Xenopus tropicalis: one gene and its partner. The protein of the gene in region 1 interacts with the protein of each later gene in a pairwise test. Links are inferred from orthologs where the notes say so. Each region holds a gene or a part of one and is shown in the gene's direction. Other genes may lie near its edges.

Evidence for each region. The genes of interacting proteins can lie anywhere in the genome.
Region 2: the proteins of rgl2 (region 1) and rap1b interact in a two-hybrid assay, tested with the Homo sapiens proteins (2 studies listed by BioGRID and IntAct). The link is inferred for Xenopus tropicalis from reciprocal best matches to the Homo sapiens genes RGL2 and RAP1B.

What each region holds. Positions count from the first base shown.
Region 1 is NC_030684.2:72,113,075-72,116,725, reverse strand, and holds part of rgl2 (ral guanine nucleotide dissociation stimulator-like 2), read left to right. Parts: intron 1-1,198; coding exon 1,199-1,295; intron 1,296-1,587; coding exon 1,588-1,854; intron 1,855-1,931; coding exon 1,932-2,040; intron 2,041-3,329; coding exon 3,330-3,523; 3' UTR 3,524-3,651. UniProt on the Homo sapiens protein: Probable guanine nucleotide exchange factor. Putative effector of Ras and/or Rap. Associates with the GTP-bound form of Rap 1A and H-Ras in vitro.
Region 2 is NC_030679.2:58,775,387-58,779,588, forward strand, and holds the start of rap1b (ras-related protein Rap-1b precursor), read left to right. Parts: upstream 1-1,332; 5' UTR 1,333-1,418; intron 1,419-4,202. UniProt on the Homo sapiens protein: GTP-binding protein that possesses intrinsic GTPase activity. Contributes to the polarizing activity of KRIT1 and CDH5 in the establishment and maintenance of correct endothelial cell polarity and vascular lumen.

The sequences.
Region 1 (3,651 bases):
TTGTAAACAAAGAGTTTTCACATTCATTTTTTTTCTTCAAGATCTGAATCGTGCAAAAAGTGCTGGCATTCAGCCAAATTCTAACACAATTTTTAAATTTATATATCTTACATATTACATGTTTAAAACTACTATAACTGGTTTCTTTTGCCTTATTAAGTTATCTATATTAATCTCTCTACATAATTTAACATAATCATGTAAAAGACTCAAACCCCTACAGCACTGGCAACGAAGAATTTCTCAACCAATGGAGTGTCAATAGTCTGTTATAGAGAGTGACAGTACTGCTGCTTAAAGGAAACTATACCCCCAAACAATGTAGGTCTCTATAATATATTGCATAAACAAGCTCATATATAAAACCCTGCTTCATCTACATAAGCCATTTTCATAAAAATATACTTATTTAGTAGTATGTGCTATTGGGTAATCCTAAATAGAAAATTGCCATTTTAAGAATTAAGGGCCACCCCCTCGGATCATAGGATTCACAGTGCACACAAACAAGCCAAGGGACACATACATGCTAGGCCCCATCAGCCAATTAATGGACAGAGTTCTGCCTTTTACTCCCACACTACTTCCTGTTACAGTTAGAGCTGCATTATTTCCTGTTGGATGATCTCTGAGGGAGCACACAGCCCATCACTAAATGGTGGCTCAAGGGAAAGGATGTAAAAGGGCAGTATTTACTGATATATATATTCCAGTTTGGCGAGATTCTTTAATAAGTCACTCAGCATAATATAAACTGTTAGTTAATTATTCATTCTGGGGGTATAGTTTTCCTTATTCTTTCTCTGTTTGCATTGAAAGATAGTTAAACTAAAACAGTTTCAAAATTTGAGTAAAGCCATTCTGTTTTAAAAATGACATGATTTTCAGGAAAACAATCCGAGAGAGTATGTCTTTAATATACATATTACATACTGTTTTACATACTATTAAGTGTAAAGTTATTGTGGTGAGAAATCAGTTTCCTAAAACAATTACGTGGATAAACAGACTGCACACAAAGCTCTTCAGCTAAAGCATTTCATGCTGGCCAAGCATACTTCAACCAGATGCAGCCTCAGGTCTCTAGGTCTGACATTCATTTATTAAATAAAATACTGGACAACTGCTAGATTTTCCTTATTGCATTTATAATACTAATATAATGTAAATATTCTTATTCCTATCTCTTTCCCTACAGCCTCCTGGCTGCCATTGCAGCCCCATTTGGACCTAGCATGCATGTAGTATCCTGGGATACACCTTGTGATAGACAGATGGCTCTCAGCCTTAGTCCGGTAATCAAACTTACTTTCTCTTTGTAACAAAAGGATATTTCTCAAAACCCAGAGAGTGCTAAGATACAAGTGCACTCTTCACATTATATACCTGCTGAGTAAGACTGAGGCCCAAGTGGTAGTGGCATGTTTGGAAAATCTTTGACTGCCTAAATGACATATTCCTTTAGCAAAATCTCCCTGTAAATTGCTCTGATCATTCAATAGTTGATTTGTTCCCCCTTTCATGTTTTTGCTTTTCCTTCCAATATAACCAGCATTTGACATAAGACTGCCACATTCTCATTAACAGCACCAGAAGAGCCCATCAGTGCCAGCTCTGGACACTCAGAGTTCACCAAAGCTGCCAATGAAAGGGCTTCTTGCATTAAGTCCAGTGGCACGCACTCATAGACGCTCTGCCTCATGTGGAAGTGCTATTAATGCTTCTGCAGAGCCTCATCCATCTCTGGACCATACAGCAGAGCATTCTTCACCCACTGGCTCCAATGCAGAACATCGCATCATTCGTGTGCGGGTAGAGCCAGCTGAGGAGAACAGTGTGTACAAAAGTGTGAGGGTAAGCAGGCAACAGGACTCAGTATTATTTAGAAACTGCCCATACACACCATATTAACAGTGGCTCTGCTTTTACAGATCAGCAGTCAGGAAAAAGCACCTGCAGTTATTGATCGAATTCTCAGGAAACATCACATGACTCCTCAAGGGCCACAGGAACTCATCCAACTGCTGCCAGAGGGCAAAGGTTAGAGTTTCACATTTACCTCAGAGGTGAAACTGAGTTGGAGCCATATTCTGACAATTGCTGTAGAAGCATTTTGACAGTAGAAATCAGTCATTTATTTTTGTAGCAAATTTCATATATGTGGTTACACAGATATTACCCCAAATATAAGTTTAGCATGGACGCAAATGTAATTCTAAGCAACTTTCAAATATGTATAAATTAAAAATGCTCAAGGCTTTTTAAGTCATTTATAACTGTACTTGCTATTTACAGCATTAGCTGTTTCTCATTTGCAGTTATTATTATTAACACGTATTTATAAAGCACCAACATATTCAGCAGTATTGTACAGTACCCTAGAGTACACATTTAGGGGCATTTTTATTACAGTGTGTAAGCCAACATCACCAGTGATGTTGCCCATAGCAACCAGCCAGGTCTTTGCTTTGGTTTTCTAATTTGTAGGTGACTGTTAAATCCTAATTGCTGACTGGTTGCTATAGACAACATCACTAGTGATGTTGGCTTACACACTGTAATAAATATGCCATTACATACAAAATAAATTGATAATCCATGCAAAACTTAGAGGGCCTTGTTCACGGTTTATGACTTCCCATGTACTACTCAGACTAAATTTAAAATTGATACAATGTTGCAGTAGTCAGCTGTCCCCCAGCCAAGACCCAAATTCCCATAATTTCCTTGCATATTCTGTGGCTAAAATACCTGTAATGAAGGGGAATATCAGAAGTGTGCAAGGCACCATAGGAAAATTAGTTTATTTATTGTTAAGTGTACTATTTCCGTGCCTGCAGTTTTATCATACTGCTCCCCTTTGTGTTGAGGGTTTATGTCTGATTGAATAAATCATACATGAAGCCCTAGATACCCATATGGTTGTGTGCCCAGAGGGTTGCTTATCATCTCAGTTTGATTCACATACCGATACTTTGTATATATGTGATAATTCTAATTGCACAGAGTATACTCTATACCCAGTACTCCGGAGCATGCCATAGAGACAGGTTATACATTGTTTACTTTTATAGACATATAAAACACTTGTAGATCCCACATAGGTTTTATTTTTCCATATTGCCACATAGTGAACCAATTTGTTTTGGTCCATGCAAAAATAATTTATCTGCTCCTGCAGCATAAATTTTCCTCCTTCATGGATTGGTCCTTTTTCCTTTAATGACACAGCTACAGCATATGGTAATGTCATGAAATTAATATTCTGGTGTTACCGAGACTCTGTTACTGAGTTTGTACAATAACAGTTATATTATTTGTCTCATCAGAATTGGTTATTCCAGAGAAAGCAAATGTTTTCTATGCCATGAGCTCTGCAAGCTTGGATTTTCTTCTCCGTCCCCGTAAGACTGTAAGTTCAGCATCTTCTACAGACACCCAGGCACCCGCTAAAATGCTCATCAGTGCCACAATCCCTAAGGTCAAAGCAAAGGCAGGAGACCTTGCAAGAGCACTTTTCTAAAGCTCACCATGAGATTCATCTGCTCCCAAAGTAAAGAGGAATTAAAAATATACAGGAAAAAATCTTATATTGAAATCTAAACACAACAGGATCCTGTGTTACTGACTTTACCAATGACATGTCACAAG
Region 2 (4,202 bases), on another chromosome or scaffold:
GTAAAGTATATATCATGAACATATTTCATAGTTAATAAAAACAAAAAAACATAATATTAACAGGCACTCACACATGCATAAAAAATTTCCGCAATTTTTTTTTTTACCTTAAAGGAAACATATCCTATAAAAATGATGAATGTACCAGTAAATTATACTGCTCTAGATATAGAAGGAATGTGCTGAAAAAAGTTGTGTTTCAGACTGATTTATTGAGAAATTCCACCAAAACCCCACTAGTCCCGTCCATCCGCTCCACTTCCTGCTGGCTGAATTCTCTGGATAAGCTGGCGGATCTCAGTACACTACAGAGGATAGGAACCAATCAGCAGCTAGGCTGACCTGATAGGGAACTGAAGCCTGTCTGTGCTTGTGTGACTGCAGGGCTGTGATTGGCTATGCCCCCTCCTACTGTGCTTCTGGCAGGGACCGTTAGGAGAAGGGATAGGATCTATAGGGAGCTCCAATAAAGGGGCCATTATTACAGATAGGATTAATGTTTAGCCCAAAGGGAAACCAGCACCATATATTATTCATAATTGCCTACAAAATTAGGGTTTTTCCCATATATCCAATATGTCTCCTTTAAATTTAGGTAACGCCTGAGTTACACAGGTATGGTTCCAACTGTTCTTCCTTTTGTTACCCTATATCCCATCTGGTTAGGGACAGTGGTGTAATTTGATGTTACTGGGCCCCAGCACAGTGGTAATAAGACATTTCTAATAACCAGCTCATCGGTAAGTGCCCCAGCAATTGTACATTCGGCTTCCACTGTAATTACACCCCCGGTCATGCTATACAGGCGCTCACAGCAGCTTCACACAAACATAATCCCGATAGTAGCTCGTTTATACAGAGTGGGTGTGGCATATCATACCCCTATACAGCCGATCGTGTCGCATTGATAAACAACCAGCAAAGCGTCCCTGCGTATTACTTGTAATTTAAGTCTACAATTATATCTGAAAACCATGTGTCTAATTTTCATATATTTATCGTACCTATAGAAATATAATCTAGTGTTTAGAAGCAGAACATGTTCCCCTTATTAACAGAGCACAAATCAGCTTCTAAATGTAACTGTTTATAGCCTTCGTTGGAGCCCATCAATCCTTTGGCCACAACAGGTTGCACAGCGGCCACATCGGGCAGCCAAAGGTTTGTCGGTGGGACTCGGGTAAGAGAAGCCATGATGCGCGTGCCCGTGCCAGGGAAGGGCCAGGTCAGCGCTTAGCTGGAAGGCGCCGGGAGCGCGTACGGCGGAGAGCGAGAGCGGCGCAGTGACGTCACGGGCGAGCTGGGAGCCTCACCCAGGCTGGGTTGGTGGCGCTGTGTGTCCCGAGCAGAGGAGGACAAGCGGGCGGCAGGGGATCCCAGGCAGAGCCGGGGCCCATCCAGGAGAAGGAGGACAGCGGGTCAGTGATACTGGGAAATTAACTTAGGCACTAGGGCTTGTGTAAACGAAAGGCTGGGCGAGGGTTGGATGACCGGCCGGAAGAGGGGCAAGGAGTCAGGGCCCGGCCCAAGCAGCAGTTCTACCGAGGCCGGCTGGGTGCTAGATATTCCCGGATAATGGCGGAAAATTCTCATTGGCTAGTCGAGGGCAGTGTAGAGTAGGCACTGTGATGCGGACTTGCCGCTTGGTGGACCTTGGGCGTGCAGGCGGACTTGTGGCAGTGTCCAGAATGCACATGGAAGTGATAATAGCTTGTCACAGCACCCATATCCGCAAGTTAAATACCGATCCTAATGTGATAAACTACAACTCCCAGCATACTCTCAGTGGAACGGGGTTGGCGTTCAGAAATAGCCGCAGGCAGACAGATCTTGGTTTAGTGTGTCACAGTGATTGCTCCTTGATCAACATGCCTTCTTGGAAATATTATAAAATGCCTTTTATGGCAGAAAACTGGGATTCCTATTATGTCCTACCAATTTACAGCATATTACCATGAATGTATACCTTGAATGTGTTCATTTAGTGAAGAACAGGGGTGGAGGTTTGCAGGCTGTTTGCCAAACTTTGCTTTGTCCACTGTATGAGTTACAGCTAGCGCTGACAATGGGGCTTCATGTGCCTTTACCGTTGGATGTTGGTTATGGGTGACCCTAATAAGGGACTGGCTAATCTAATAGCTGTGCCACATCTTAACATCCTGTTTAGATCCCACACATAAGTGTGTGTGTTCTTTTGGGTGTGGGGGGTGGCAGGGTGGTGACAAAGATTTTTTTTTTTTACCTCATCCATCAGTAGATATGACAGTTGTGTTCAGCTATTGAACATACTGCCCACACTAAACTGCAACTAACATTCTTGAACAGCAGAAGAATTTTTGGTTCTTGTAGTTTAACCAGAGATGTAGGTTACGTGTTGAACATTCCTAATAAATGCACACTTGAAATGTTATTACTTTTTGTTAATAGCCTTAAGTTAATACTGTGTTTAAGCTAAACTCTTTATGAATGTGGTGAACAGGATTAAGCCCCCACCTAAATCTTTCGTAAGGAAAGATAGCAGTAGTCACATCAGAACAGCCCTTTTGTGGTCTGTATGGGGAAGGAAAAATGCTGTTTTCTGTTCCTATAAACTGGCCACTAAGCGAGTTGAGTAATATCTCTTGTATAGAGAGTGATCCATTTGTAAATCACCCCACAGATGAAACTAACAAAATGGGCCTTGGGGTGTGGCTTTGTATTGCTGTTGCAAGGAAAGGGTTAAGTTGACTGGTTAGCTCAATAGGGCAGGCTTGCAAAGTGTTGGGCAGCTAGTTATATCAGGAAGTAGTATCTCACTTGTCATGTTTATGTCCACATATTATTTTAAACTGTTTAGTTATATCCCTTATTAATGCTGATATAAATGAGACACTGCATTACACCATTTCCAAAGCTTAAAAGGGTGGTTCACCTTTAAGTTAACTTTAAGTATGTTATAGAAAGCCAATTCTAAGCAACTTTTCAATCAGTCTACATTATTTATTTGTTATTGTTTTTTAATTATTTGCCGCCTTCTAACTCTTTGCAGCTTTTGAATGGGGGTCACTGATCCTGGTGGGCAAAAAACTATTACTTTGTGAGGCTGCAGTTAATTGTAATTGTTAATTTATATTACATATCTTTCAATTCAGGTCCTCTCCTATAAATATATCAGTCTCTCATTCAAACCACTTCCTGGTTGCTAAGGTAATTTGGACCCTAGCAACCAGCTGTTGAAACTCCAAACTGGAGAACTGCTGAATGAAAAATTGAAATAATTAAAAAACTAAATAATAAAAAATGAAGACCAAATGCAAATTGTCTCAGAATATTACTCTCTACACAATACAAAAAGTTACCTAAAAGGTAAACAACCCCTTTAAGTAAAGCAACATATGCAGAAAAAACAGCATGTGGAAGTGTGAAAGCAAGTAAAGTCAAAACTTGTGAAAGGGAATGTAATAAGATGGCTTTATTGATTTAGCTCTCTTGCCTGAGAAGTAAAGAGAGAACATCAGATTAGCATTATGGTTGCTTCCTGTTGTGCACTACCGGTTCATGAAGCCTTCAAGTTGTGATGTGAGTTACCAACCGATAAAGCATTTCTGTAATTGTTGCCACAATTTAATGTTTGTGCCTATTTTATCTAGTGACAACTGCTATTAAAATCATTTAAAGTGACAATTACCTTAAAAAAAAAAAAAAAAAACACCTTCAGAACTCCACGTTACTGCTCATCATCCCAAGCTGTTTCTAGCCAGGGAGAACCACAGATAAATGGAAAGAGCTCATTGACTTTTTTTGTGCGATACCACCCTACAACATTTATTAAAGAGCAGAAAACAAAAGCACTCTTTGCTCTTCAATAAATGTTGTAGGGTGGTTTCCTACAAAAATAAACCCATGTGTCCTTTCACTTTAATCATGGAGCTTTATATAAAGACATTGAGGCATTACTGTTCATGCGCATTTTAAAAATGTCAGTATGGAATAATTTCCTTTGGGTAATAGTCATTTTTTGTGTTGTTTGATTGCTAGGCAGTAGTATATGGTGGAGGTCCCAAACTTGTGTACCACATTCAGATGTAAAAAGAGCCAGGGAGCAACACAAGCATGAAAATGTTCTGGGGGTTGCCAAATAAGGTCTGTGATTGCCTATTTGGTAACCCCTGTGTAGACTGTCATCCTACAGGAGGGTTTGTTTGGCATTACACATGGCTTTG